Linked DNA regions of Macaca fascicularis. The protein of the gene in region 1 interacts with the protein of each later gene in a biochemical or structural test. Links are inferred from orthologs where the notes say so. Each region holds a gene or a part of one and is shown in the gene's direction. Other genes may lie near its edges. The genes, in order: BCAR1, CRKL, PTPN1, CRK and PTPN12.

The links.
Region 2: the proteins of BCAR1 (region 1) and CRKL interact in a test that uses a peptide from one of them, tested with the Homo sapiens proteins (2 studies listed by BioGRID, with this or other methods). The link is inferred for Macaca fascicularis from reciprocal best matches to the Homo sapiens genes BCAR1 and CRKL.
Region 3: the proteins of BCAR1 (region 1) and PTPN1 form a complex in vitro, tested with the Homo sapiens proteins (3 studies listed by BioGRID and IntAct, with this or other methods). The link is inferred for Macaca fascicularis from reciprocal best matches to the Homo sapiens genes BCAR1 and PTPN1.
Region 4: the proteins of BCAR1 (region 1) and CRK form a complex in vitro, tested with the Homo sapiens proteins (2 studies listed by BioGRID, with this or other methods). The link is inferred for Macaca fascicularis from reciprocal best matches to the Homo sapiens genes BCAR1 and CRK.
Region 5: the proteins of BCAR1 (region 1) and PTPN12 form a complex in vitro, tested with the Homo sapiens proteins (3 studies listed by BioGRID and IntAct, with this or other methods). The link is inferred for Macaca fascicularis from reciprocal best matches to the Homo sapiens genes BCAR1 and PTPN12.

What each region holds. Positions count from the first base shown.
Region 1 is NC_088394.1:71,076,608-71,082,974, reverse strand, and holds the start of BCAR1 (breast cancer anti-estrogen resistance protein 1), read left to right. Parts: upstream 1-2,725; 5' UTR 2,726-2,868; coding exon of another isoform or gene 2,869-2,880; 5' UTR 2,881-3,626; coding exon 3,627-3,704; intron 3,705-6,367. UniProt on the Homo sapiens protein: Docking protein which plays a central coordinating role for tyrosine kinase-based signaling related to cell adhesion. Implicated in induction of cell migration and cell branching. Involved in the BCAR3-mediated inhibition of TGFB signaling.
Region 2 is NC_088384.1:31,890,364-31,896,787, forward strand, and holds the start of CRKL (crk-like protein), read left to right. Parts: upstream 1-2,567; 5' UTR 2,568-3,093; coding exon 3,094-3,404; intron 3,405-6,424. UniProt on the Homo sapiens protein: May mediate the transduction of intracellular signals.
Region 3 is NC_088384.1:106,660,830-106,666,613, forward strand, and holds part of PTPN1 (tyrosine-protein phosphatase non-receptor type 1), read left to right. Parts: intron 1-3,470; coding exon 3,471-3,571; intron 3,572-5,784. UniProt on the Homo sapiens protein: Tyrosine-protein phosphatase which acts as a regulator of endoplasmic reticulum unfolded protein response. Mediates dephosphorylation of EIF2AK3/PERK; inactivating the protein kinase activity of EIF2AK3/PERK.
Region 4 is NC_088390.1:1,561,898-1,568,473, reverse strand, and holds the start of CRK (adapter molecule crk), read left to right. Parts: upstream 1-3,014; 5' UTR 3,015-3,158; coding exon 3,159-3,399; intron 3,400-6,576. UniProt on the Homo sapiens protein: Involved in cell branching and adhesion mediated by BCAR1-CRK-RAPGEF1 signaling and activation of RAP1.
Region 5 is NC_088377.1:143,832,735-143,837,444, reverse strand, and holds the end of PTPN12 (tyrosine-protein phosphatase non-receptor type 12), read left to right. Parts: intron 1-1,189; coding exon 1,190-1,297; intron 1,298-1,789; coding exon 1,790-1,851; 3' UTR 1,852-2,644; downstream 2,645-4,710. UniProt on the Homo sapiens protein: Dephosphorylates a range of proteins, and thereby regulates cellular signaling cascades. Dephosphorylates cellular tyrosine kinases, such as ERBB2 and PTK2B/PYK2, and thereby regulates signaling via ERBB2 and PTK2B/PYK2.

The sequences.
Region 1 (6,367 bases):
TGGTGCTGGCCCCAGTGCTAAACTCATATTTTTTGGAGAGGAGGGTGCTTAGGTCTCAGCTGCCTGTCCTTTTGCAGTCTGAGTGTGACAAGGGTCTTTGGCTTTGCTGAGCCTGGAGTGCTGCTGTCCCTGTCCCTAGATTCCCTTCCAGCTGCAGGGTGGGCTGAGGTCTAGCAGCTCCATTTCTTCCCTGGCCCTGTCTCCTCTGTTCCCTGAAGTGTATGGGATGGGACAGTGGTTGCTAAACTGGGTCTCAGTCTCTTCATGTGAAAAATGGTCCTAGGCCATGCACAGTGGCTCACGCCTGTAATCCCAGCACTTTGGGAGGCTGAGGCGGGTGAATCACTTGAGGTCAGGAGTTCGAGACCAGCCTGACCAATATGGTGAAACCCCGTCTCAAACCCAAAAAACAAACTGGGGCTAATGGTGAGCCTGTTTTGCAGGATTGCTGTGTGTACAAAATAAGTGCATGGGCATAGGGTCCCTGGCACTGGCTAGGCGTGGAGGCTCTGCCGGGTATGTGGGGCTGCATCCCTGTCCTTGACAGCAGAGGTCCGGGAGGCTGGACTGGGGGTGGGGTAGGTTCTGCCCCCATATACCCCAGCCAGAGCCTGCCCAGTGGGTGCTCCTTCCCCACCCCCCAGCTACATCCCCTTCAACACAGTGGGGCTTAACTCCTGGGGCCTTGTTTCCAAAGCGGAAATGCCATTCTGGGAGGCACAGGCTTTGGGGGGAGGGAATTTAAGTGGAAAACGAGCAAATTTTTGAAATGCCTGTGTCGGAGCCTGTTCCCTTTGCTGCCTCCCGCTCACACCAGCAGCCCCACCCCCAGTGCTGCTCTAATCCAGCTCCTGGGGGAGGAGGGCCCCATCCCTCAGGGTCCCAGCCATCCACCTCCTCTCTGCACCCCTCTCCTTGGCCAACTAGGATGGAGCAGGGGCCGGCTCCCTTGAGGGCCAGGCCTTTTGTGTCCCTGCCCATCCCTGCAGACTCCTGCCTGGAGCCCTGCCAGCAGGGCACTGCCTGCCCATGAGGCCTGGTCTCCCCTTCCCACAGAAGTGGAGGCCCAGGGATCACCTGAGGCTCCTGAGGGTCCCGCTGGTTCAGACCTGCTCTCTAGGAAGCTGGTTTGTGTGCCAGTCAGGCTGAGGAGTGGGTGGCTGGACAGGGTCAGTGCAGGAGGGGCCAGGCACAGCTCTTGGGAACAAGCAGGAGGAGATGCTCCAGGCAGCCTCCCTGAAGGCTGGCTCCTCTTCTGAGGTGAGGTGGGCTGTGTCCAGAGGCATAGGGTGTTGGCGAGCTGTTCTGTTCCTCCTGAGGACTCTGGGTCACGCTGTGTCCCATCCCACTGGTCCTTCCTCACCCGCTGTGCTGTGAGTTCTGGCCAGTGGTTCCCAAGCCAAATATTGAGGAAATGCAGACATCCAGTTTTTTGGGAGGGGTGGGACGCAGGAGTCTGCTTTTAAACAAGCTCCCCAGAGCACCTGAGCAGCCAAACCTGGGCTGCCCTAGCCCCTTTTCAGATGAGAAAGGAGCCCAGAGAGGGGAGAGGGTCTGCCAAGGCGGCACATCTCGCCAGGTGCTGTGTAGGCTGAGCCTTGGGTGTCAGGCAGAGGGGCAGCTGCAGGCCCACCTAGGCTTATGTCTGTCATAGGCCACGCTTGAGAATTCTCTGCTGTGGGAAGCCGGGTCCACCCCACTGCTTCCCTGCCACTAGAGCTGCCTCATGGCATCCCCTTGCTCAGCCAGTGGCCCAGGATTGTTGACTGAGGGTCCTGTCTGGTCTGGACCAGGCTCGTCTTACGTTCTTACTGCAGGTTGTACATCCCTGGCCAGGCCCAGGGGCTCTGGCACCGTGGTTTTGCTGCAGGGGGTGACAGTCACTGACCTGCAACCGAGCAAGGGGCAACTCAGGACAGCCAAGGTTGTCTCCACTCCGTTTCCCCTGGGTGATTCTTCCTTCTGCCTCCCTCATTCCCCCAGTGCCGCCCTCCTACCCCAGGTCGCTGAAGCAGATGAGTTGGAGCAGGACTCAAGAGGGTACTGGGCCCAGGTTTTAGGCTGAGCCTAGGAATGAGTAATGAGAGGAGGCAGATCAACTCAGCTGGAGTCCCCAGATGTCGGCACAATTCAGGGGAAGATAGGTGCTGCCCGTGAAAAGTGCTGGATTGAGAGCTCTCCAGCCTCCTTGCTTGAGGCTTCATTTCCAGGGTCTTTACACGGTGGGACCGTCTACAGTCGGAGCTGTGGTGGTGGTGATTCTTCTGCAGGCTGGCGCACGCCCCCTCCCCTTTCCCACTAGATTCAGATCTGAGTCCCACGGCCCATCGACACGCGATGAATGCCCTGGGGTTGGTTAGCGGGAAAGACAGAAGTCGACTTGACGCCGTGGCTCGGCTCTGGAGGAGGAAGGCAATCCGGGCAGCCTTCCCAGAAGTGGAGGCATTTGCATAGGCCTTCGGTGCGTTCTCGCCCGGGTGGAAGGCGGGGACTTGGATTTGTTGGAGAGCGGTGTCCTGCGCTCTAGGCTGGAAGCCTGGCCTCGGCCGGGTGCCTGGAGCCTCGGGGTGGGAGGTGGGGGGCGGGGCGGGGGGCGGCACCTACTGGGCGGGCTTCTGTCTGCGCGCCCGCGCCCCTGACAGGCGGCTCATTTGCATGGAGAGCGGCGGCGGCCAATGGGCGCGCGCGGCTGGGCATGCTGGGATCGGGCTGGGCCGGCTGGGCCGCGGCGGCTGGCGGATCGCGGCTGGACCGGCTCTGGGTGGCCGAGGTGGCAGCTGCGGCGCTCTCGGAGCCCCGAGGGCACGCGGCCAGAGCAGCTCGGTGTGCGCCACCGCGGGAGCCGGGGCCCCAGGCCCGCTGGACACCATGAACCACCTGGTGAGGGCGGCAGGCGGGGCCGGGCCGCGTCTGGGCTTCGAGGCGGTAGCCCTGCCGGCTCCGGGTCTGGCGCGGGCTGGAAGGGGTTAAGTGAGCGGCATTTCCTGCCGGACCTGCGGGGCCTGGGAACCGCCGACCGGGATCCGCGGCCCCGGGACCTCCTTGCGCCCTGGTCGGGGAGCCGGGAGGCAGGAACCGCGGGGGCTCCGGAGCCTGCGCGCTTCGGGGGCGTTGGCGGGGCCGGGCACGGGGGCCGCCAACCGGCAGGAAGATGCCTGTGTCGGGAAAGTGACTGGCGGGGCCCGCGCTCCCCGGCCGGCGGCCGCCTGCTGTGTCACCTTGGGCCTCTGCGCCCTGCCTCCGAGCCTGTTTCCTCCGCTGCGAGGAGGGACCGTTGAGTCTCGGGCGGGTGGTCCGTCTGGTGTGGCGTGGGACTGCCCACCGCTCCCGGAGAGGGAGGAGCTCCGGGGGACCGAGGCCGGGCGGGCAAGTGCTTGGCGCCAGCGGGGAAGGCTGTGCGGCCGGAGCACCCGGGTCCGGTTAATGATTCACTCCGGCCGCCGGCGCTGGGTTCCGGGAGCGGAGCGGGGGTGGGGGCGGGCGCGCCGCGGGCTTTGCAGCCCTGCACGCCGAGCGCCGGTGGAAGCCGAGTTCTGGCTGGCTACAGGAGTCCTAGCTGCACACGAGAGTCGCGGGAGTGGGCCGGGGCCGGGTTCTACAATGTGAACGTGAAGGCTTTGGAGTCCATGGTTGGGGGACCCACAGAGCTAGAGCAGGGGCGGGGCTGCCTCTCGAGGGTCAGAGAGGCTGATCGCTGGGCCGAGGTGAGGGAGCTGGGAAAGCTGAGATTTGCCTAGGGGTGCGTGGTGAGGGGCTTACGACCCGGAAGATGGGGTTTTGGGTTCCTATCGGGAACAGCAGCTCCTTTTCCCACCACAAGGCTCCCGTTCCCTCTTAAGAGTCCCTGGTGTCCTTTCCCGCACTCCTCCTGGGTCTCGCTGCTTTTTTGGTCACCTCAGAATGACCATGGGTTGATTTCCTTACTGGATTCGGCCAGGTGAGATGTTTCCCATGGCCCTGGGCCGGGGCACGCCCCCTCTTGTGCTCATTCCTTTCCTTCGGTGGAGAGTTGGGTGGTGGGGACTGGCTGGCCTGTGAGAGCAGGTGTCGGGGTGCCTGGAGAATCGGGGCCCAGGTACCGGGGCGGCGGGGCTGTGGGGAAAGGAGCTTTGGGGAGGAGCTGCTGACGCTTCCTGCTGGCACTGCTTGCTTGGGAGCTGGGTGGAGGCAGGGCAGGGCAGTTCCAGGTTCTGCCAGGAAAGTCACCTTGGGCTGGGGCAGGAGGCTTGGAGCTTCTGGCCGTTACTGTTTGTCGGAGCAGGAGGGTGAGCCCTATGGACTGGTACCATGGCCCCAGGTCTGGGCAAAGAATGGAAATAAGGACAGTGCCACTAGGGCCTCCTGTCTGTGCAGGAAGGGCCCTGAGACAGCTCTTCAAGCCCCTTTCCCATTATACGGATGGTGCAGATGGGGACACTGAGGTACAGAGAGACAGTGAGTTGTCCTCAGAACTGGATCCAGAACCTGGTCTCCTGACATGGCCCCCAGTGCAGCACCACATGTGGCTTCTGAATTCCCAGTCTGGGATTGAGGAAGCTCTGGTCCTTGGGGGACCACCATGCTCTTTTGGGATTATCAACTTGGTAGGGACCCTCTGGTTCCAAGGCTGTGCCTTTGTGGCCCTCTGCTGGCATCTACTGTCCCTTTAGTGGGTCCTACCACCCTTTTCTCCTGAGCCTGGACAACTTCTTCCCTTGACCTCAGGAGCCCACAGCCAGCTGAAGCAGCTAGAACCAACCAGCAGGGGAGGTGCGCTCCAGGGGGGCTTCTTGGAGGAGGCAGTATTGGAGTCAGACTTGAAGTGTGGGGCGTGGAGTTGGGTGATAGGGATGTTTCTCCAGCAAAGACACTGGGCAAGCCTCTTCTTCAGCCCCCAAAAAAGGGGCTGCAGGGTGGTCTCCCTGTAAGAGGGCGGGGCACTGCCCTCTGTCAGGCCCTTCCTGGCCCTCTGAGCACAGGAGAGGCCCTGGCTCCATCTGCATCTTGCTGCCCTGACTTCCTCCCACCTCTAGGTGCTAGTCTGGGGCAGAAGTAGGGTGAAGGGGCGGGTCCAGCCTCCTTGATGACTCAGTTGGGGTTGAAGGTGGGAGCTACCCCTATTCTGGGCCTGTTGCTGTCTCTGAAGTCAGGGGTCAGCCTCACACTGAACTCTCTGCCAAAAGTCCGGATCACAAGCATGAGCTCCAGCAAGTCCACTTGAGTGAACCCCGCTGATCCTGCCTGCAGGGGTACAGGCCTGGGGCCTGCCAGCCGTCCCCACTGTCCGTGGGGTGTTTTGGGTTGCAGATTCCATGTCCTGAAGCAGGAGGGCCCTCCCCATGCCACCTCCTCTGCCCAGCCTCTTAGGGACAGTGCCTGGGATGCCCTGGCAGGAGTAGGGGCTGGGGCGTGCTTCCAGACCATAGCTGGCCTGGGCATAAAGGCATCTGCTGTGGCGCTGCAACGAAAGCCAGGCTGTGCTCTGTGCTTGTGTCAGGGCACCCTTGGCAGTGGCCACCCCACAGGTGTCTTTTTATTCCCTCCTGCTGCTGAGTGTCACGCGTGGGGCTGAGGGCCTGCACGCCTTCCCTGCCTCATCCTCTCCGAGGTTTCACGCCCTACTAAGGCCGGCAGGACAGGAGCCATGCTCCCCTGGGGTGGCTCTGGAATGTGGGCCCCACGCATAGGCTATGTGATCTGCCCACGCCCTTGCTGCCTGCCACCTGGGCACCCAGGACTTGAGCCCAGACCCTGGCCACCCAGTTGTCTGTGGGAGTATTAGGGGAAGATGCCACTAAACTGGCAGGTCCTGGAGTTCCACCCAGGATGGGGACATGGAGGAGGGAAGAGGAGGTGCCCCTCAGAGCCTGAGGCCAGGGCCAAGTGGGGTGATCAGGACCCCTCCAGGTGGGTCCCGGGTGCGGATGGCCAGTTGGGCGCACGCTCATTGGGCCTGCATCCGTTGGCCATGGAGGCTCTTTGGGACAAGCAAATAGAATGCTCCAGAAATAAACTTGGCCCAAGTTTGTGACGGTTCTGGGTATGAAAGAAAGCAGTGTTTCCCAAGTGCCTGCTGTGTGTGAGGCTCTGTGCTGGGGCGGGTGCATGTGTGTGTTGGGGGTGTGGACAGGAGGGGTGGGAAAGGCCCGTGACATTTCCTCTCGTGGTTTCCACGAACCCAGGCATCACCCCTGGGTGGAGATAAAGTGGAGCGACCCAGCTCTACTGTGTCTCAGCCTGGGGTTGGCCTCTGCTGCTTCTGGACTCAGTGACCCTGGACTGTCAGGGAGCTTCTGAGCCTTGGTTTTCCTGTCTAGTAAGATGCAGGTATTTCTGTCTTATGGGGTTGTTTTGAGGGTTAAATGAGCTGGTGGCTGTGAGGGAAAGA
Region 2 (6,424 bases), on another chromosome or scaffold:
TTAGCCTACTAAAGGAAAAATTATAGAGAGGTGAAGGAGGCTCTACACTTAGAGGGCAGAGAGTGGGTTGCTGTGGCTCACATCTGTAATCCCAGCTACTTTGGAGGCTGAGGCAGGAGGGCTACTTGAGCCTGTGAATTTGAGACCAGAGTCAGCAACAGAGAGACCTGTCTTTAAAAACAAAACAAGGCTGGGCGCGGTGGCTCACGCCTGTAATTCCAGCACTTTGGGAGGCCGAGGCAGGCGGATCACAAGGTCAGGAGATCAAGACCATTCTGGCTAACATGGTGAAACCCTGTCTCTACCAAAAATACAAAAAATTAGCCGGGCATGGTGGCGGGCGCCTGTAGTCCCAGCTACTCCGGAGGCTGAGGCAGGAGAATGGCGTGAACCCGGGAGGCGGAGCTTGCAGTGAGCTGAGATCGCGCCACTGCACTTCAGCCTGGGCAACAGAGCGAGACTCCGTCTCAATAAATAAATAAATAAATACAAACCCCAAAAAGCCTAATTCAGTCAAAGCATGGGTGGAAGTCAGATTTGGTTGAGTAGCTGGGCGAGTGGCTCTCGCCTGTAATCCCAACACTTTGGGAAGCCAAGCTGGGAGGATCACTTGAGCCCAGCAGTTCCAGACTAGCCTGGGCAATACAGTGAGACCTCATCTCTACAAAAAATTAAATAATTTTAAGTCACCACTGGGATTACAGGTAGTGGCTCACGCCTGTAATCCCAGCACTTTGGGAGGCTGAGGTGGGTGGATAATGACATCAGGAGTTCAAGACCAGCCTGGTCAACATGGTGAAACCCTGTCTCTACCAAAAATATAAAAATTAGCTGCGCATGGTAGTGCGTGCCTGTAATCCCACCTACCCGGCAGGCTGAGGCAGGAGAATTGCTTGAACCTGGACCCAGGAGGCAGAGGTTGCACTGAGCCGAGATTGCGCCACTACACTCCTCCAGCCTGGGCTACAGAGCGAGAGTCGGTCACAAAACAAAACAAAAAAACAGAAAAAACGCTGGGCAAGGAGCAGGTGATTATTAAATGGTAAATCTGACAGTGAAAAGCAGTTAGAAAACGAAGTGGAGATTTTTCTCTCCTCCCTCACCCACCGAGGGTATGCTCAGGGTTTTAGGCTATAAAGGTACAGGCCCAGGGAACGAGTGAATAATAATAATGGAAGACTCATATGATGCTTATGTGCCAGGTACTATTCTAAGCACTTTGCATATATTAGCTTATTTCATACATAGCTGGGCCGGGCGCCTCACATCTTGGCTGAGGGGGAGGATTGTTTGAGCTCAGGAGTCTGAGACGAGCCTGGGCAACATAGTGAGATTTCGTCTCTATTAAAAATAAAAAAAAATTAACTGGGCATGGCAGCGTGAGCCTGTAGTCCCAGCTACTCGGAAGGCTGAGGTGGGAGGATCCCTTGAGATGCAGAAATCAAGGCTGCAGTGAGCCATGATAGTTCCACTGCACTCCAACCTGGGTGACAGAAGGAGAACCTGTCTCAAAAACAAAATAAAACAAACAGGCCGGGCACGGTGGCTCACGCCTGTAATCCTAGCACTTTGGGAAGCTGAGGCAAGCAGATCACCTGAGGTCAGGAGTTTGAGACCAGCCTGGCCAACATGGTGAAACCCCGTCTCTACTAAAAATACAAAAATTAGCAGGGCATGGCTGCGGATGGCTGTAATCCCAGCTACTCGGGAGGCTGAGGCAGGAGAATCGCCTGAACCCGGCAGGCGGAGGTTGCAGTGAGCCGAGATCGCGCCCCTGCACTCCAACCTGTGGATAGAGCGAGACTCCGTCTCAAAATAAATAAATAAATAAATAAATAAATAAAAATAGAAAACAACAAAAACAAATAGGGATTAATAAATAGGGAGAAGCAGGCATAATCCAGGGCAGGCGAAGCCTCCGGGCCACGCCCGAGAGGCGTTTGCATTTTACCTTCAACAGTTCAAAGCCCTGGATGGCCAGGTTACCCAATTGTGGCCTGCCTTGACTACTTAATTGAGTCAATCTAACCCCCACCTTCTCTCTCCTCTCTCTCCATTTAGCGGGTCACGTAGCCACTAGGGCTTCCTTAGCCTATCAAGCCACCTGGGGACTGAGTCATTCAGTCACCTATCTGGTAGTCACATCTGCCCCTGGGGTCATCCCTTTACTGGGCCACCTCGGCCCATCGTGACCTGTCACTTCTTGAGCTCCCTCAGGCCCCTAGGCTGGCCAGGTCGCCTCAGTGCCACGCCTCCCTGGCCCGCGATTCGGCCTGCACGTTACGCTTTGTTCCCAGAAGCAGGTTTTCGACACGCCGCTCCCTCTCGGCTCCAGCTGTTTTCCTGCCAGCGCTGGGAGACCCGGCAGCCGCAGCGCCCCCAGCGGCGCGCAGCGGCCCAGGAAGAGAGTGCCTACCGCCGGCGCCTCTTCAGCCTCCTCCCGGAACGCGGGAGCGGGCGCGACCAGCGCCCACCCAGATCGTCGTGACGGTGCTCCTCATTGGCAGCATTGTGTGACGCCACGGAAGGGCCCCGGCGGCCGCCGGGAGCCGGGGCTCCGCGCGTGCGCAGACGGAGCGCGCTGAGCGCAGGGGGAGGTGGCTGCCGCTTCTCCCGCGTCCGCCATTTTGTTGCTGTAGCTATTGGGAACGAGCTGGGCAAAACCACCCCGGAGGCGCGACGCTCCTTCGAGTTCGGTGCCTCGTGTGACGGCGGGGGTCGGTGAAGACCCGTGGAGCTGCGACGCCGGCGCGTTCCAGGCCGGGAGTCACTGGAGGCACCCCTGGGACGCCGAGCAGCCCGAGAACCCCGGGGTGGCCTCAGCTGCGGCTCGGCTTTGCGTGCCCTGACCCCCCGGCTCTGCCCTGCATTCCCGGGCGGCTCTCCGTGAGGCGGCCCCGGAGCAGGCGGGCGACGTTGGAGGATGCTGCGGGCCTGGAGCCGAGAGGAAAGTGCTGGCCCAGCCCTCTGAGCGCTCCTCGAGGTGTGCGAGAGGCCCTTCCTCGGCCCCAAAGCCGTCTGCCGGGCTAAGGCGTGCAGAGCAGGCGAGGACAGCCGCCGCCCCTACCGCCGCAGAGTCCCCGGCCCGACACCATGTCCTCTGCCAGGTTCGACTCCTCGGACCGCTCCGCCTGGTACATGGGGCCGGTGTCTCGCCAGGAGGCGCAGACCCGGCTCCAGGGCCAGCGCCACGGTATGTTCCTCGTCCGCGATTCTTCCACCTGCCCTGGGGACTATGTGCTGTCGGTGTCCGAGAACTCGCGGGTCTCCCACTACATCATCAACTCGCTGCCCAACCGCCGTTTTAAGATCGGGGACCAGGAGTTTGACCATTTGCCGGCCCTGTTGGAGTTTTACAAGATCCACTACCTGGACACCACCACTCTCATCGAACCCGCGCCCAGGTACGCGAGAGCCCGCCCCGACCGCGGAGGAAGGTCGATAACCGGGTCGGTCGAAGGGTGTTTGTGTAGGGAGGTGGGGCGCGCTTGAACCCATATTCCCCCCATTCTGAACCAAATTATTTTCCAGAAGGCCTTCCTAATGGAAAGCTAGTGTCAGGATCTAGGTCACTGGATAAGAGGATGCGTTTTTGTTTTTTGTGTTTTCCTCATGAGGCTGTTTCTCAATGTCAGGAGGATGCGTTTTAAATGTTTAACGGGGGTGGCATAAAATGCACGCTTTTTGCCTTTCGTGACTTTCTCTGGGTGTAATACTGATGCAGGGATTTGCTGGTTTTCCTAAAAACCTTTTTTTTGAGACGGAGTCGCCAGGCTGAAGTGCAGTGGTGCGATCCCGGCTCAATGCCACCTCCGAGGGCCTCCCAGGTTCAAGCTATTCTCCTGCCTCAGCCTCCCGAGTAGCTGGGACTACAGGCTCACGCCACCACGCCCAGCTAATTTTTGTATTTTTAGTAGAGACGGTGTTTCACCATTTTGGCCGGGATGGTCCCGATCTCTTGACCTCATGATCCCCCTGCCTTGGTCTCCCAAAATGCTGGGATTACAGGCATGAGCCACCGCACCCGGCCAAAAACCGTTTTTAGCCATAGACTTCTTTGAGAATCTGGAGATAGCCGAGCACTCACCACCCAAGCCCCACCCCTCCTCGCCAAAGGCACGTACACACAAGTTTGCACACTATCCCAGGTTCTTGTACTCCCTCCAAATCTCTGAACTCCAGGTTAACTCCAGGACTGCAGCCTTTGTAACAGTCGACAAAATGAAACCAAAATATCAAAACTATATATTTGATACTGTGGTGCCAAGTTTGAAGCAGGCCAGACACCACCACTTTTATAGTACGTTAATCACAAAGATAAGGTGCATTGGCTTCAGCGAGGATATTTTTGGAAAATGTATTTAATATTTTCTCCCCAAGGACCATTAGTAGGCCAGAGATTAGTCTGATTAATTTCCAAGGTGGAATTAGGCTAAAATGTTATTAAGGAAAATTTTTGAATTACACTGAGTTGTATCCTAGTTCAATTTCAGACGTGCTTTTTGTGTTAAGTCTAATGACTTAGTATCTCTTATTTTTAAATTAATGCAAAGTGACCAAGTAGTCTCTTTTCCAAGTGAAATACATTATTTTAATTGATTAGTTGCTTTAATTTGCCTTAAGCATTTTAACAAAGATTTGTTTTTATTGTTGTGTTTGCCCTGTAACACTTTGATTTTATCAGAGGTTTCTTTTATTTAAATTATCCCAAATTTGAGTTGAAAAGTTGCCTAGAATTTTTAAAGTAACAAACTGGCCAGTTCATTTCTTAAACATCTGTTTTAAAAGGATTGGGTGTTGATGCAGTTTTTCCAGGGTTAAATGTTTATGACTTTATGGATTTGTCGACCGGGTATTACTCTAAACTTTAAACATTAAAAGCTATTATAATTAAGGACACGAACTGTTTGCATAGTGAGATAGAGATAGAAAAAGAAGCCATGATAGTATAATGACTTTAAGATTAACTACTGAACTAAATGGACTTTAAAAGTGGGCAGAAAGTGATTATAAATCAAATACTGTATAACAAAGACCAGGACACCAAGAATCTGATTGGTGAAACATGCGGTTCCTGGCAGATGCTGGTAGTTGCAGTCAACTTTGAGCACAATATAATTCCAATTTAAGGGGTTGAGAATCTTAGAACCCACTGTAGTGAGATTTGTAGTATGATTGAATAAATTATTCATCTCGTTTGTGAGAGTGAATTATATAATTAATACCAGGCATTCATTAAGCCATGCATGTACTTACGTTGAGGTGATGAATACTAATAATACAGCTGTTTCAAAAAGCGAGTTAATGGCGGGGTGTGGTAGCTCACGCCAGTAATCCCAGCATTTTGGGAAGCCGAGCCAGGCAAATCACGAGGTCAGGAGTTCGAGACCAGCCTGACCAACATGGTGAAACCCCGTCTCTACTACAAATACAAAATATTTGCTGGGCGTAGTGGCGGGCATCTGTTATCCCAGCTCCTGGGGAGGCTGAGGTAGGAGAATTGCTTGAACACGGGAGGCGGAGGTTGCAGTGAGCCGACATCGCGCCACTGCACAGCCCGGCGACAGAGTGAGGCTCTGTCTCAAAAAAAAAAAAAAAAAAAAGAAAAAAGAAAGAAAAAAAGTGAGTTAATGGCTTGAATCTCTTTCTAGAGGGAGGAAAAGAAGTATGCTGCTTCTGTCTATCCACAGAATCGCCTCCAAATTTTCCATACATGCATGTGTCTTCTTAGAGAACAAGCATGTAATTCTGTTTTTGCCTCCTCTCGTCCTTCCTTTACTGCAGCTCTACTAGGCTGCTCACTTATTCCCTGGTAGCCATCCTTCCTTACTCATACCTTTGTACCTTTGCACCTTTGCTCCAGCTGTTGGCTCTTCATTGACTGCCTTAACTACACCTCGCTCTCCATCTGTTGAAATCCTACCTGTTGTTCCAGTCCCTTCACAGATGATAGGGCCTTTCTCTGACCCTCCCCCACACGTTCAGCTTTGTTTCTCCTTCTCTGTGCCCTCTGCCTCAGGCCTGTTGCTTTAATTTAGTTTTTCATTTTCCTAGGTATCTCTGAAGGAGATCACCATGCTGGTTGAATTAGATACTGACTGAATTTACTTTGTTATACTGAATCTTCGAATTGCCACTCCCAAGCCTGGTTTTCATGGCTTAGCCCTAACATGTTATTAGCCTTTTATAGAAAGCTAGTGACTACTAGAGCCTTGCCAAACGGAAAACTCAGTGTAATGCTTCTTCACATCCCAAACAGGATAAATTTAGTGGCTTAACTTTTCAGGCATCAAAACTGAGCTTTTAAAGCCAGAATTTAATACCTCTTGGCTAATATTTTGGTTTATCTTGCATAGCTAAAATTTGTAACAATAATGTCCTACTCGAAATTTAAGGACTGGTGGCTTGCATTGTTATAGTCTTA
Region 3 (5,784 bases), on another chromosome or scaffold:
TCTTGCTCTTCCTCTGCTGCAGGCCCTTTTAGTCAAGATTCCTTTCGCCTCGGGGTTTGGTATAATAAGAAATATAATAATAAATCAATGTAGCAGAGGTTTATGACTTGATTGTTTCCTATAGTAAAGGCATTAGAGACGTATAGTAATGGCTCATTTTTCCACCATTATAGAAGGGCTGAGGTTTCAGTTTCTGGAAAATTCAGTGAAGTTCAAAGCACTTTTTTTTAGCTTTGACTGTTTTTGTGATGAATCATTGTCCTACCAGCTGAAGCAGAGGATAGCAGGCATAATAAAAGCTTTTCTGGATGACTCAGCAGTAGCGTCATTAGAGCACAAGCACTGTGTTCAGCTGTAGTGAAGCCCCACACAGGCCTTCAGGGGTGGGCACTGTTGTCCCCTGCACTGAATATGCAAGGCATCTCTGCTTGGAGTCCCCACTGCCTCCACCCCTGCCAACCTCGTCATTTTTCTCCCTCTTTCCTGCTGTTAGTTCTTCCTAAGATTGTCAGTGTGCCTGCTGGCCTGTGGCAGCCCTGTCCGCCTTCTGAGTGATTGGCTGTCAATCTGCCGGTAGCTGAAAAGTAAATAACTTAACATGTTAGGATTTGCATAAAGCAAGGAAAACTGGAATGAGTACAGGACGTGAACTGCGCCATCTCCTCTAGGCCACAGAGGCTTTTTTGAACCCCCTCCAGGTCTTTAGACATTGTCAGGCAGTGAGGGGTCATAGCTGCCAATGTCTCCGTGGTAGTATGCTCTGCCAGGGATGTAGAAGATTATCCAGTCATTCCTCCAGTGAGCACTTCCTGCAGGTCCTGTGCCCATGGCTGGGAGTGGTGGCTGTCATTGTTCTCTGCCAGAAGGGTTAGCAGTGCATCCTGATCTGACTTAGGTGGCGCCCAGATTCCTGGAAGGGGTCTAAAAATGGACTTAGACTTGGTGTAGAACGTGTGCCTCTTGGCTTGCCACCATGGTTCCCTGCCTGGTTTTGTGTGTCAGCTCTGCCACTTAGAGCTGAGTGGCTTTGGGCAGGTTGTTCTCTCTCATAGGAGTGTGTGAAGATGAGGCAACATAAACCGCTTAGCCCAGCGCCCAGTACCTCACGCAGACATAAGTGCTCAATAAATGTTGTCGGTGGTGGGGATGGTTGTCACCAACATCTGAAGTGCACTTCTAGGTCATCAGGTGACATGATTGGCGCCAACACATGGTACTCTTGATTTAGCACGTCTCAGCTGAGGCACCTCATTGATATTTGTTTAAAAACAAAAAGAAAAAGCCTTGAGGATTCTGCTGTGAAGTCCTGCCAGAAACCTCCAGACCGCTGATCAGAACGCAACAGAACCATCACCGTTCACCTCTTTCACATGGTGCCAGGATACCCTGGGTCTCTAGCTTTTGCTGTACTTGCTCTAATTAGGGAATAATCTTGTCTTTAATATTCCTTTGCTACATTTTTTAACATTTCTTATCTAAATGGTTTTATGAATCAGTTTTACAGAGAAAAAAAACAGTTTAAAAAATATTCTTCCAGGGGCTGGTCCAAGTACAGTAGTGTTTACAACTATATGATCACAACCAGTTACAGATTTCTTTGTTCCTTCTCCATCCCCACTGCTTTACTTGACTAGCCAAAAAAATAAAAAATAAAAATTCTTCCAGGGAAACAATTCTCCAGCTTTTTCACTCCCAATCCCACTCGTCTTATCTTTCTCCCCTACTCCTATCCTCCAGTAGAAACAGTCATTTGCTGTGAAGGTTATGGGGAAGAATGAGTCAAGGTAGAAGGTCACCTGCTGCCCAGCTCACGGTGCTGCTGGTGATGACAGCAGTCCACAGTTACAGGCACTTGCTGAACGAGGCTCTGTATACACCTCAGCTCATTGACTCTTCCCACAACCCTCTTGTCACCTACCGTTTAGCAAGTTAAAAAAACCAAGGCTCTGAGGTGAGTTGTTTGCCCAGAGTCACCCAGTGCTGTTTGAACCCACTCACATAACCCACCAATACCATTACATAATTTTTTGAGGTCTTTTATCTCTATGATCCACTTAAAAATTATCCAAGTATCTTTATTTGTACTAAGCGTCCATAATGAGAAACAGTATTCCAGATGGTGGCTGGTTCTCAAAGACATCTCTCTTTGGAATCCTCCTTTAGAACAAAAAGCCCCAGACCACTTATCCCCATTCATGTCTCCTTTCCCCTTTGGACGCAGGGAGAAGGTACTATTTATGGGTGGTCACCTGAGTTTATTGTCCCTTGTGCTGTGCCAGAAATAAAGGTCCCCACCTGCTCTTATTAGCTCTACTAACAGGATAAGGAAAGTGGCCCTCAGGGAGCTACTGCTTTTGTGACAAACAAATGATACAAGAAAAAAAGTGGCTTTTTTCTTTTAGTGATCTGGGGCAGAACTTCCAAATGAGAGTTTATTTCTAAAAACCAAAAGGTACATTTAATATGCTTTCAGTGTTTGGGTTTAAATTCTCTTTCAAATGTCTTTGTGATATGCTCTGAATTTTAAAAATTTAGAATCATTGAAGTTCATTATACTTGAACTTAAAAAAAAAAAAAAAAACCTTGTATAAAGGTCAAGGTATGACTTCATGCTGCTGTGTACTTAGGTTATTTAATCTTGAAACTACTGGACAGAGGTGAGGTTGAAGTTCGATCTTAAATCCTACCTACTGTAGCTCATTGTACTAGCAACAGCTGTAGGGACTAGGTGGAATTTATGGTGGATTTTGTTCCCTTTTAAAGATTGAAGCCACCATATTTTTTGCTCTCTAAGAGTTTATGTCGGCCAGGCATGGGTGGCTCACACTTGAAATCCCAGCACTTTGGGAGGCTGAGGTGGGTGGATCACTTGAGGCCAGGAATTCGAGACCAGCCTGACCAACATGGTGAAACCCCATCTCTACTAAAAATACAAAAATTAGGTGGGCATGGTGGCCTGTGCCTGTAATCCCAGCTACTCGGGAGACTGAGGCAGGAGAATCACTTGAACCCGGGAGACGGAGGCTGCCGTGAGCTGAGAACATGCCACTGCACTCCAGCCTGGGTGACAGAGCAAGACTCGGACTCAAAAAAAAAAAAAAAAAAAAGTTACACATCAGAGAACAGATCCTTTGATGCCCTCCTCTGGTCCTGGAAGGTTTGAGGGGAGAGTAATAAGTGTCATAACAAGATATGACCTGAGAACAGATTTCCCAGATAGGACATGATCCATATTGTAATATGGCTTACCGCTGTTGCTTCATAGTGTGAAGTTTCAAACACTTCTGAAAACTCTTTCAGAAAATCCCAGTCGCCCCATACTGATGACTAATCTCAGCTAAAACAGGGCTTCAGCCAGTGTGAATGCCCCAATGCCACCAACTCACCTTTGCTTTTCTGTAGGGTATGCACTTGCATGGACACATTCAGCTTTTCCGGGTTTAACCTCTGAGTTCTGGTTTGCCTTTCAGTTGACCATAGTCGGATTAAACTACATCAAGAAGATAACGACTATATCAACGCTAGTTTGATAAAAATGGAAGAAGCCCAAAGGAGTTACATCCTTACCCAGGTAAGCAGATTGTCTGAATTTTTTTTTTTATGTCAATTTAAGAGTTTGAGAGTGCTGTTATCCACACCTCAAATAAAATCTGCCACATCCTTTAGAAGGTCAGGTTTTCAGCAAACCAAAAAGCAACAAGGAAGGGGGAAAGTCTTCCTTCACAGGTTCAGTTTGGTTGTAAGGAACACTAATCTTTTCTGGGAAGTGTAAGATGGCATTGCTGGAAATGAGAGCTTATAAAAAACAACATTAAAATGCCAGAGTTGCCTGTGGTCTGTTGGCAGAGGCAGCAGTCATGGCTGGAGGAGGGTCTGTACCTGTGTTGCTTCCAGAAGTATTTGTCGTAGAGCATCAAGCACTTGTGATGGCAAATCTAAGAACGTTAGCAGTAGACCAGGAATCTCTGTCCAGAGCCATTCAGAGTAGCTCGCCATGGTTCTCATTCTTTGGCCCAGAAGAAAGGCATCATTAGATCATGTGAACAAGCATGAAAAATGACTTAAAATTTCTGTTGGCTTTTGGCATCTTTATGGAAACAAAATCCTGAAAGTGGTTTAATAATTGAGCCTCTTGTAAAACACTCAGTGGCTTGTGACCAAAAGGGTATCTGGGAAAGAGGATAAAAAGAGTTGCTTTTTAATTAATCTTCTCAAGTCTTAACTTGTTACCTGTAAGTTGGTCTAAAAAGACTGAGTTTCTTGTTTTGTTTTTCATCATAATTTTTGTTTTCTCATTCCATGTCAGCTTTTAGTTTTATATGGCTTTAGGCCATAGGGTGATTTCGAACATTGTAATTTTGCTTAATAATTTGGAAATGAAAATTCTGGGGAAGCCAGAATGCTGTATGAAGAAAGGCTGCTTTGAGCAAGGAGCTAGGTCAGGGTGCGTTCAACTGAGGCCTTTCTTCACTGCCTTTTTGTCTTGTCCCAGTTGCTCCCCATTTATGACCAAAATCAGCCCAGATGCCTCTCGTCATCTGGGATGTAGAGCATCAGCCCAGCTGTGTTCAGTCCTGTGGGGCCATTGAGTAAGTTCTTGGTACATGAATACAGGGCAGGCCTTTACCAGACCCTGAGCTCCTGGTCCTCCCAGCACCATTGGGGTATTTAGGGGAGGCTTATGGGGGAGGGGGTTGATAAGGAGGGAGAGGTCTGGGGATGAGGTTGAGGCAAAAGTGACTTCTTGGGGACTTTGCTTTTTGGAGAAGTCAAATTTCCTGCTTCCTGATTTCAGCCCTTCAACTCTGGTGTGGAGTCAGGAAGCCCTTTAAATACCTGTTATTGGGTGTATCATGTCAAGTGTTGCATTAGCAAATGCCATGTACACTTGTGCTACTGTCCTGCCTACCCCGCATCCTAGCACTTCCTTGGGACATGGGAAGTTCTGTCTGGTTTGTGAGGTGACACTGGGGATGTCGAGAAACTGTTTACACAGTTTCCCTTTGCCCTGGGGATTTACTAAGGGAGTCGAGGCAGCCCGACCCCAAAGTATCACCCCTGGACACTATGACTGAAACATTTTACTAGTGCCCAAACCAAGAACACCCTTCCCATTTTTTTTCATTATATTACATCATTATGTAATAATACAAGTCTGTCTTCTCATTTTTTAAAAGTCGGAAGTATAGAAGAGCAGAGAATAATGTCCAAGGGGTCCTCCTTCACCTCCCCCGTGCAGTGTCAGCTAAGTGTGGTGTGTGTCTTTGCAGATCTTAGGGGATTGTGATCCTTCAGACCATTCTAAACGGGGGTGGTGTTGGGAGTTGGGGAAGACACGAAGGGAGTAGTGGAGAGCTGCAGTGACTGGAGTCTTCACGCCAGGGTGGAGAATGCAAGGCCCAGGTCATCAGCCATGTGCCACGGGATTTCTGACTGCCAGGAGCTGTTTTTCTGTTCACTGGGGAGGGAAGAGTTAAATGTGGCCTGCTTTTCTCTAAGTCCCTTCAGCACAGGGAGTGCTGACTTGTCTTGTTCAGGCAGTAAGTTCAAGATGAGCTCAGGAAAAAAAGTGAGAGGACACTGAGGGCTAGCATGGTTGAGCCAAGTGTGATGGGACTTAAAGGGAGAAGATTTTAAGAATAAGGAGTTTATGGGCTGGGTGTGGTGGCTCACACCTGTAATTCCAGCACTTTGGGAGGCTGAGGCGGGCGGATCACTTGGGTCAGGAGTTTGAGGCCAGCCTGGCCAACATGGTAAAACCCCGTCTCTACTAAAAATACAGAA
Region 4 (6,576 bases), on another chromosome or scaffold:
CTTCCAGGATTTGAACCCTAGCTCCTCACTGTGCCAACGTGTATCTCTGTACACGTTACTTAAACTCTCTGAGCTTCAGTTTTCTCTTCTGTATGATGGGGATACTTGTCAAAGAAGGTGGTTGAGAGGATTAAATGAGATGATGCGTATGAAGGCAGTCAGCACAGTGCCTGGCAGACGGTCATCTCTGAATAAATGTTAGTGGTCCTGAAACGCTTATGGAGTACCTCGTAGACTAGCTGCTTGGACTTTAAGGACATACACAGAACTACAAATGAAAAATTACAGTAAAATGGGTAAGAGCTGTCATGGGAATAATTTGGACGTATTGCTGTTGATGGAGAGGGAGTGATAGGGTGGTTAAGAAAGGGGAGACGGCCGGGCGCGGTGGCTCAAGCCTGTAATCCCAGCACTTTGGGAGGCCGAGATGGGCGGATCACGAGGTCAGGAGATCGAGACCATCCTGGCTAACACGGTGAAACCCCGTCTCTACTAAAAATACAAAAAACTAGCCGGGCGAGGTGGCGGGCGCCTGTAGTCCCAGCTACTCGGGAGGCTGAGGCCGGAGAATGGCGTGAACCCAGGAGGTGGAGCTTGCAGTGAGCTGAGATCTGGCCACTGCACTCTAGCCTGGGCTACAGAGCTAGACTCCGTCTCAAAAAAAAAAAAAAAAAAAAAAAGAAAGGGGAGACATTCGGGCCGGGCGCAGTGGCTCACGCCTGTAATCCCAGCAATTTGGGAGGCCGAGGAGGGCGGATCACGACGTCAGCAGATGGAGACCATCCTAGCCAACACGGTGAAACCCCATCTCTACTAAAAAAAAAAAAATACAAAAAACATTAGCCGGGCATGGTGGCGGGCGCCTGTAGTCCCACCTATTGGGGAGGCTGAGGCAGGAGAATGGCGTGAACCCAGGAGGTGGAGCTTGCAGTGAGCCAAGATGGCACCACTGCACTCCAGCCTGGGTGACAGAGCGAGACTCCATCTCAAAAAACAAAAACATAAAGAAAGGGAAGACATTTGAATTTGAGACTCCAAAGTGGGTAGAAGAGCATTCCAGGCCAGGCACAGTGGCTCTCGCCTGTAATCCCAGCACTCTGGGAGGCCGATGTGGGCGGATCACGAGGTCGGGAGATGGAGACCATCCTGGCTAACACGGTGAAACCTCGTCTCGACCAAAAATACGAACATTATTAGCTGGGCATGGTGGCAGGCGCCTGTAGTCCCAGCTACTTGGGAGGCTAAGGCAGGGAGAATCACTTGAACCCGGGAGGTGGCGGTTGCAGTGAGCTGTGATCGCACCACTGCACTCCAGCCTGGGCGTCAGAGCAAGAATCCATCTGAAAAAAAAAAGAGAGACTATGGCTCAATTTTATGCTCTGAGCTAACCTGGGAGTTTGAACACCTGAAGACTGTTAAACGTTTTACACAAGGTAGCAACACATTCAGATTTGTATACATATATACTTTTTTGAGACAGGATCTCCCTCTGTCGCCCAGGCTGGAGTGTAATGGTGGGATCTCAGCTCACTGCAACCTCTGTCTCCCGGGTTCAAGCGATTCTCCTGCCTCATCTTCCTGAGTAGCTGGGATTACAGGCAGCCACTATCACGCCCAGCTAATTTTTGTATTAGTAGAGACGCGGTTTCACCATATTGGTCAGCCTGGTCTAGAACTCCTGACCTCAGGTGATCCGCCTGCCTCAGCCTCCCAAAGTGTTGGGATTACAGGCGTGAGCCACCGTGCCCAGCCAGATCTGTATTTTAGAAAACTCAGTGGGAGCTGTTTGCAGTGCAATTAGAGGCAACCAGACGAAAGGGCACCAGCGAGCAAGCCACTCATAGGAACACAGTCCAGAGTGACCATGACGGCAGTGAAAGTAGGAGATGCCCCTGGCTACAATTTAGTGTTTAGAAGTATCTGGGCAGGTGACCCCAAAGCCTCAAAAGAGAGGAGAACTCTGTACTTCACGTGGCTTGGCACACTCTGCTCCCTTTGCTTTGAATGTCCTTCCCCTTTTGTCATTCAGCAGTCAACACATGCTACCTCCTCTGGGAAGCCCTCTTGGATTACTCCGCAGACTGGATGGAGGGGGGCTCTGCTCTGTGTTCATGTCCGTTTCCCATGATAGCGCTTGTCAGCATTTGTCATCCTTTTGTCATGCAGTTTCCTGGTTCCTCTCACTGGTGTGTGAGTTTGAGGAGTGCAGGGCCCAGCATCCATCACCTTTGCACCCGCAGTGCAGGTGGAGTGTCCATAACAATGTCCTGAATGAATCAATGAAAATGAGAACGTCAGCCGGCCTGTGGAGAAGCTAGAGGAACGAGAAGAAACAGACCGACATGGCCGGGAGCGATGTTTCTCGCCTGTAATCCCAGCACTTTGGGAGACCGAAGCGGGTGGATCACCCGAGGTCAGGAGTTCGAGACCAGCCTGGCCAACATGGTGAAACCCCCGTCTCTACTAAAAATACAAAAATTAGCCAGGCGTGGTGGCGCTCGCCTGTAATCCCAGCTACTTGGGAGGCGGAGGCAGGAGAATCGCTTGAACGCGGGAGGCGGAGGTTGCGGTGAGCCGAGATCGCGGCACTGCACTCCAGTCTGGGCGACAGAGACACCGTCTGAAAAAACAAAATAAGAAAAAGAAAAGAGAAACAGACTGATATCCCAGGAAGCCTGGCCGAGAACTGAGGCCCCAGGGCCACACGCGTCTTTTCTCCTGCAATCCTGTCTGGGAGCCGCCGCCTAGAAGTCCCGGGCAGTCCGGGAACGCGAGCCTGAAGCAGCACCGCGCGGTCGGCGGCGCAGGCGCACGTCTCTGCGGGAGGCCGCGAGGCCCCGCCCCCGGGCCCTAGACCCCGCCTCCCATCCCCCTCATCCCCGGGCCGGGCAGGGCGGCACCGCCCATGAGGCCGCATGCGCAGTGCGCGCGCGAGGGCGCCTTGCCCTTCTCCCAATGGCGGGCCGCGGGCCCCTTCCCGGCAGCCTCCCTCGGGCAGGGAGCGCGTCATTTCCGGTGGGGAAGGCCCGCGGCTGCCGCCGCCATTTCGGGCGCTGCTGTGAAGCTGAAACCGGAGCCGGTCCGCTGGGCGGCGGGCGCCGGGGGCCGGAGGGGCGCGCGCGGCGGCGGCACCCCAGCGTTTAGGCGCGGAGGCAGCCATGGCGGGCAACTTCGACTCGGAGGAGCGGAGTAGCTGGTACTGGGGGCGGTTGAGTCGGCAGGAGGCGGTGGCGCTGCTGCAGGGCCAGCGGCACGGGGTGTTCCTGGTGCGGGACTCGAGCACCAGCCCCGGGGACTATGTGCTCAGCGTCTCAGAGAACTCGCGCGTCTCCCACTACATCATCAACAGCAGCGGCCCGCGCCCGCCAGTGCCGCCGTCGCCCGCCCAACCTCCGCCGGGTGAGGGACTGACGGGACGGGGGGCCCTGGGCGGGGTGAGGGCCGCGGAGCTCCCAGCCCGGCTGGCTGCTCCTTGAGAGCGGACCCTCGGGGTCGTGGGCAGAGGGCTGGGTGACCGTGGCAGGGGCCCGCCGGCTGCTGGGGCTCATTCCCACCCGGGGAACAGGAGTGTGGGGGAGGAGGAGCCGCGGACCGAGGCCCCGGGGTGTGCCTGGGAAGGGCAGCCCCGGGGAAGGGGAACTGCTTCGGCCCCAGGGTGGGGCTGGCTCCCGGGCCAGGCGCAAGGGTAGGGCAGGGCAAGGCAACGTGGGGACAAAGAGCTGAGGGAGATGTTGGCACTGCGGGGGCATCACTTGGCAGCGGCGCCCAGAATGAATCCGATAATCCTACAAGTGGCTTTTGGGCTGGAAGCGTTTCCTGCCGTGTTGGAGAGCCGGGTTTGGCCGTGCTCCCCTGGTGGCCTTTGGTAGGAAGTCACCACAAACTGGCCGGGAGGGATGGAGACACCCTCAGGAAACCGGTTAGTTTTTTCCTTTCTTGGGCATTTTTCCAAAATCCTTGTACCGTCCTCTTCCCCCGTGGAGGACGAAGGTGGTGAATTAAGTGATAGAAGAAAGCCTTCAGTGACCAGCCCAACCCAGTTTAAGGCGATGCCTGGCTGCGTGCAGGACATCTAAGCGTCCAGAAGACTGTCCGCCGGTAGAGGGTTCTGGTTTTCAAAGTGTTTAGTGGAGGAAAGACATTTTATTCCAGAGAATAAACCAGAAATGAGGCAGTGGAAACAGACCCTTCCCTGGATGTGACTGGAGCTTCATTTTCCTTGGACTTAAACATTGTCAGTGTGTACTTCAGGGCGTGACCTTGCTCAGTAAGATGGGGCTGCGGGCTGAGTCTTCCTGGATGCTGGGAACAGACTCTACGCCAAGAACATAAATTACCTGCGCTGGGTTTTTCTTGCCAGGGATCCCTGAGATTGACTGTCTTTCCGATGCCGTTGGAGTTGATTTGGGAGTGTTTCAAGGGAATAGATAGATGCCCTTAGTACTGGAGATTTGTGAGGTACGAAGTAATTCTGGGGTTCTCATTGTATGTGTACCTGTTTAACAGCATCAGGAGTCCTCGTGCCTTCACACTGTTGCCAAGTCGAAGCTGTTTCTTCTTGGCCGCTGAGACTGGGTTCAGACTAGTCTCCTATGAATCAGGAAGCTCCTGAGCCATCCTCTCTAGACTTTCTCTTGTAGGATCGTTCTAATTTAGATTTACTTGTTCCGGCCAGAAATGGAGAATTGAATAGCCAGTCTCTTTGTTATTAACACATACCAATTTTTATTTTACTTTTTCCTGAGACGGAGTCTCGCTCTGTCGCCCATGCTGGAGCGCAGTAGCACGATCTCGGCTCATGGCCACCTCCACCTCCCCGGGGCTCCCGGGTTCAAGATTCTCCTGCCTCAGTCTCCCGAGTAGCTGGGATTACAGGCACCCACCACCACAACCAGCTAATGTTGTATTTCTAGTAGAGACAAGATTTCACCAGATTGGCCAGGCTGGTCTCAAACTCCTGACCTCAGGTGATCCACCCTCCCAAAATGCTGGGATTACAGGTATGAGCCACCGTGCCTGGCCAACACATAACCAATTTTTTTCTTATTTTATTTATTTATTTATTATTTATTTATTTTGAGACAGAGTCTCTCTCTGTCACCCAGGCTGGAGTGCAGTGGCGCCATCTTGGCTCACTGCAACCTCCGCCTTTTGGGTTCAAGTGATTCTCCTGCCTCAGCCTCCTAAGTAGCTGGGATTACCAGTGCCTGTCACCACGCCCATCTAATTTTTGTATTTTTAGTAGAGATGGGGTTTTACCAGGTTGACCAGGTGGGTCTTGAACTCCTGACCTCAGGTAATCCACTCGCCTTTGCCCCCTCAAAGTGCTGGGATTACGGGTGTGAGCCACCGCACCCAGCTTTGTTTGTTTGAGGCGGAGTTTCACTTTTGTTGCCCAGGCTGGAGTTCAGTGGTGTGATCTCAGCTCACTGCAATCTCTACGTCGTGGGTTCAAAGGATTCTCTTGCTTCAGCCTCCCTAGTAGCTGGGATTACAGGCACACGCCACCATGCCTGGCTAGTTTTTGTATTTTTAGTAGAGATGGGGTTTCACCATGTTGACCAGGCTGGTCTCGAACTCCTGACCTCAGGTGATCCGCCCGCCTCAGCCTCCCAAAGTGCTGGGATTACAGGTGTGAGCCACCACACCCAGCCCAACACATAACTATTTTTAGAAAATGAGTATGGGGTCTATAAGTTCACAAATTATTGTAGATCTTTCTCATTCTGGCCAGTTTAATGGTGTTATGAGATGGGAATATTGATGTACCTGTGTTGGCCCTGAACCAGATATATGCTACTTTGATGCCACCTGCGTGGTATCTGGGGTTTTGCATTATATGTAGTAACATGATGGCAAACTTACTGAAACTCACTTTTCAGCCTTTTGTTTGTGTTTGTTGGTTGCCAGAGTTGAAAATGGCAGCCGGCAGGTTTGTTAGCTTGATATTTTTTCACATCTTAGCATAACGATTTTTATATCTCAAGCCTTACTTGGATAATGGAGCACCACCTTTTCAAAACAGATAAGAACTCAGTTCCTTGGCCCAGGAAAGAAGGTGAAGATTGCCAAAGTTTGTGGATGGGGTGTGGAATATTCACGAGTGTTGTGATAATTCTGCCATATTGTACCCCATTTTCTACGATTCAGTTGCTGTCTTTTCTCTCTTCTGAGACAGGGCCTTTGTCTCTCAAGCTGGAGTGCAGTGGCATGAACACAGCTCACTGCAGCCTTGACCTCCCGGGCTCAAGCCATCCTCCCACTTTAGCCTCCTGAGCAGCTGGGACTACAGGCATATCCACCATGCCTGGTTAACTGTTTAACTTTTTTTTGTGGAGATGAGGGGTTTCACTGTGTTGTCCAGGCTAGTCTCAAATTCTTGGTCTCAAGAGATCCTCCCGCTTCAGACTCCCAAAGTGCTGGAATTGCAGGTGTGAGCCACTGTGCCTGGCTCAGTTGCTGTCTTGTTTGTTTGTTTGTTTGTTTTTTGAGGCAGAGTTTTTTTTTTTTTTTTTTTTTTTTTTTGAGACAGAGTCTGGCTCTGCCGCCCAGGCTGGAGTGCAGTGGCCGGATCTC
Region 5 (4,710 bases), on another chromosome or scaffold:
TTGTATTCCAAGTTTCCAGAAAGGTTCCTCATGGAGGTATGGGGTATGTTCAAGACTGTGAAAGAATGAATGAATTATAGTAGTTAATTTCTTTTGTTACTAATGTTGAACATTGGTAATTAAAGAGTGAACTACAATCTAAACAACATAAAACTTTAAAAGTAGTTAGATCTGGCGTCGTGGCTCACACCTATAATCCCAGCACTTTGGGAGGCCAAGGCGGGCGATGACCTGAGGTCAGGAGTTTGAAACCAGCCTTGAGCAACATGGTTAAACCCCATCTCTACTTAAAATAAAAAAGTAGCTGGGCATCATGGCTGCCGCCTGTAATCCCAGTTACTAGGGAGATTGAGGCAGGAGAATCCCTTGAACCCAGGAGGCGGAGGTTGCAGTGAGCTGAGATTGCGCCATTGTACTCCAACCTGGGCAACAAGAGGGAAACTCTGTCTAAAAAAAAAGTTGCGTTGTTATTTCAGGTGGAAATATTTCATTAATTAACCTTGACCTTGTTGATTTCTTTTTTTTTTTTTTTTTTTTTTGAGATGGAGTCTCGCTCTGTCGCCTCGGCTGGAATGCAATGGCACGATCTTGGGTCACTGCAAGCTCTGCCTCCTGGGTTCACGCCATTCTTCTGCCTTGGCCTCCCGAATAGCTGGGACTACAGTCGCTCGCCACCATGCCCAGCTAACTTTTTTGTATTTTTTTAGTAGGGATGGGGTTTCACCGTGTTAGTCAGGATGGTCTCAATCTCCTGACCTCGTGATCCACCCGCCTCAACCTCCCAAAGTGCTGGGATTACAGGTGTGAGCCACCGCTCCTGGACTGACCTTGTTGATTTCCATACAAAGGCATTTCAGTTGCAATTATTCCCTTAGAACATAGGCATATAGTATAGCTACCTTAAGGGAATGTAATATGTCAAGACCTAGATTTAGGAAATAAAAATAATGAGAATCCTCACGTTGCAGAAGTACTCACTGCAGATTTCTGTGTGACCACAATAATACCTGACATGATTTTCTGTGCTCACTACGTTTGTATTTATACTGATCTTGACCTATAAAATTATGGTGCCCAGGAGAGAAAATTTTCTCTTTTCATGCTTGCCAACATTTAAAAAATTAAAGAGTTGTATATATACGATGCTACAAAGCATGGTGATTAACAAAGGTTTTGTGTTGCTATTTAGATCATCCAGCGGGAGGTATTCACTACGAGATGTGTACAGAATGTCCACCTACTTTCAGTGACAAGAGAGAACAAACATCAGAAAGTCCAACAGAAGCCACAGATATTGGTAATTTCTTTAATAAATAATTTTTAGTAAGTAGTTAACACTGGCAAGAATGAGAAAAGCTCATTTGCCATTGTGAAGTGACACTTGCCAAGAATAAAGTATATGATTTTCCAAAGTTGCTTGAACTAGTCATGAAATAAATGAAGCACTTAATTCTATTTCACATTGAGATTAAAAACTAAAATAGAAAACTGCAGTATATTAAAAAAATCTTTTGTGTTGGACAGACTAAATTATCTTGGATGTTTTTCTTACATTGTGATAAAATTGGTTTATTTTCAGCATAAGATTTTTAAAAGAAGCAATCATTTTCAGTTACCCCAGATAAATTTACAATCGTTTTGCATTTACAGAGTTTTGTTTGGCTTAAATTCTAAATTCCCTTGTGGAAATTTATTTGTTCCAGAAAATCAGAATGTCTGTGGACATGGTTTTTAGTAGTTTAAAAGTATTTCTGAACACTGACTAGTTACTGTGGTATTTTCACTGTAGGTTTTGGTAATCGATGTGGAAAACCCAAAGGACCCAGAGATCCACCTTCAGAATGGACATGATTCAGGGAGCTAAAAGACACTTTTAAGTTATACTGGAAAATTCAGGTGCCACTGAAAGCCAGATTTATAGTATTCCATCTTTAATATGTGGGACTAACAGCAGTGTAGATTGTTACTTTAATATTTTTTGCTGGGACCATCTACCTGCCTTATACTATACTTAGGAAAAAGTATTACATATGGTTTATTTTGAAACTTCAAGTATTATTGCCTTAACGTCTCTTAACCCTGTTACACGCTGCTTGTAGACATGTTAATATAGTAATACTTTTATGATATATTGAGTTTAAGGACTACTCTTTTTCTGTTTTATCATGTATGCATTATTTTGTATATGTACAGGGCAAGTAGGTATATAATTTGATAAAGTTGCAATCGAAATATTATTAACAGAAGATGTAAGAAATTTCTGCATGGTCTAAATCTTTGTGTACTTTATTTGTAAATTATTTGCCCTGGAGTTTTAGAAAATAGTTTCTGAATTTTAAACTTGCTGGATTCATGCAGCCAGCTTTGCAGGTTATCAGAGATCAAAGATTGTAATAATAATACATTTTGTAAATTGTAAGCAAAGTTATTTTTATATTATATACAGTCTAATTGTTCATCCTAATTGTTCTTGTTTTCATCTAGTCAGAGATTCAGTAAGTGCCTTGGAACAATATTGAATTCTCTTAGCTTGTGTGTGTTTCTTTAATATTTGAACTCAACTGGGATTAGAAGACTATCAAAATACATGTATGTTTCAGGATATTTGACCTGCCATTAAAAAAACAAACAATTTTACAGCGCCTACTTGTTGCCTTGGCTTTTCATTTTTCATTCCTAGGAAATTGGACTTAACTATCAGCCTTCTTGCTGGCTCAGTCTTGGTAGGAAATGAATGTGAATGGGGTTTAATCTCTTTTTTTTTTCTTTTTTTAGACAGTATCACTCTGTCACCCAGGCTGGAGTACAGTGGTGCCATCTCGGCTCACTGCAACCTCCACTTCCCAGGTTCAAGTGATTCTCCTGCCTCAGCCTCCCAAGTAGCTGGGATTACAGGCACCCGCCACCACGCCCAGCTAATTTTTATATTTTCAGTAGAGATGGTTTCACTGTGTTGGCCAGGCTGGTCTCAAACTCCTGAACTCAGGTGATCCGCCCACCTTGGCCTCCCAAAGTGCTGGGATTACAGGCATGAGTCACCATGCCAGGCCTAATCTCTTAATTAGGGAATAGCGAGTACCTTCTGCCAAAAACATGGCTGTGCCAATTCTAAATACTTATTGCCCCTAGGCATTCCTCATCCTTATCATTACTAGCCTACCAAAGTCCTAGTAGAAAGCCCAACAGAGGGGGCCAGATGGGGTGGCTCACGCCTGTTATTCCAGCTCTTTGGGAGGCCAAGGAGGGCAGATCACTTGAGGTCAGGAGTTCAAGACCAGCTTGGCCAACATGGTGAAACCCCTTCTCTACTAAAATTACAAAAAAATTAGCTGGGTGTGGTGGCACATATCTGGAATCCCAGCTACTAAAGAGGCTGAGGCAGGAGAATTGCTTGAACCTAGGAGATGGAGGTTGCAGTGAGCCAAGATTGCACCACGGCACTCTGGTCTGGGCAACAGAGCAAGACTACATCTCAAAAAAAAAAAAGAAAAGAAAAAGAAAACCAAACCAAGGGGATGTTGGGAACGAAAACTGGTTTCTTATCCCAAGACTGGAGCACAGATTCCATTCCTCAGTACTAAGTCTGAATTTTGACAACTGTAGATTGGAGTTGTTGGATGTCTGTATTTTCCCTCTGCATATGAAAGAATGAAGAAATTATGAAACTAAAGTACATGGAAAACCTTATATGAGTAGAAGGGGGATTATTGTGGAGGAGAAAGTAATACTACAATTTCTTGTTAAATTTGTTTTAAAGCTAACTCATCTTCATGTTGATCCCTTAGATTTCTTTTTTTTTTTGAGACGGAACTTTGCTCTTGTTGCCCACGCTGGAGTACGATGGTGTGATCTTGGCTCACTACAACCTCTGCCTCCTGGGTTCAAGCAATTCTCCTGCCTCAGCCTCCTTAGTAGCCGGGCTTCCAGGTGCCCACCACCAAGCCCAGCTAATTATTTTTGTATTTTTAGTAGAGATGGTGTTTTGCTATGTTGGCCAGGCTGATTTTGAACTCCTGACCTCAGGTGTACCCGCCTCAGCCTCCAAAAGTGCTGGGATTACAGGTGTGAGCCACCACGCCTGGCCAATCCGTTAGAATTTGAAAATATTCTGTATGCTTTGGTAATAAGGAAGTGGTAATACAGTGGATGCTTGACATTCTCAAGACACAGGCACTCCTGTAATAGATCTTTTCCTAATACAATGTAAACTGAAATAAAAGCATAACTGAAAAAAATTTTAGCCCCTTCACACACTTGATGAGTTATTGTAGAGTACTAAAATCATAAGGATTTTTGTGGTTGGGATGGAGTTTCTTGGAATACCTTCACTGAAGTATACATGTATTCAGAAGTAAGCAAAAATCATATTAATTGCCAGGCGCGGTGGCTCATGCCTGTAATCCCAGCACTTTGGGAGGCCAAGGTGGGCAGATCACCTGAGGTCAGGAGTTCGAGACCAGCCTCAACATGGAGAAACCCCGTCTCTACTAAAAATACAAAATTATCTGGGCGTAGTGGTGCATGCCTGTAATCCCAGCTACTTGGGAGGCTGAGGCAGGAGAATTGCTTGAACCTGGGAGGCGGAGGTTGCAGTGAGCCGAGATCGTGCCATCGCACCCCAGCCTAGGCAACAAGAATGAAACTCCATCTCAAAAAAAAAAAAAAAATCCTATTAATCATTGTAAAGAATATCACCTATGTGAGTGTGAC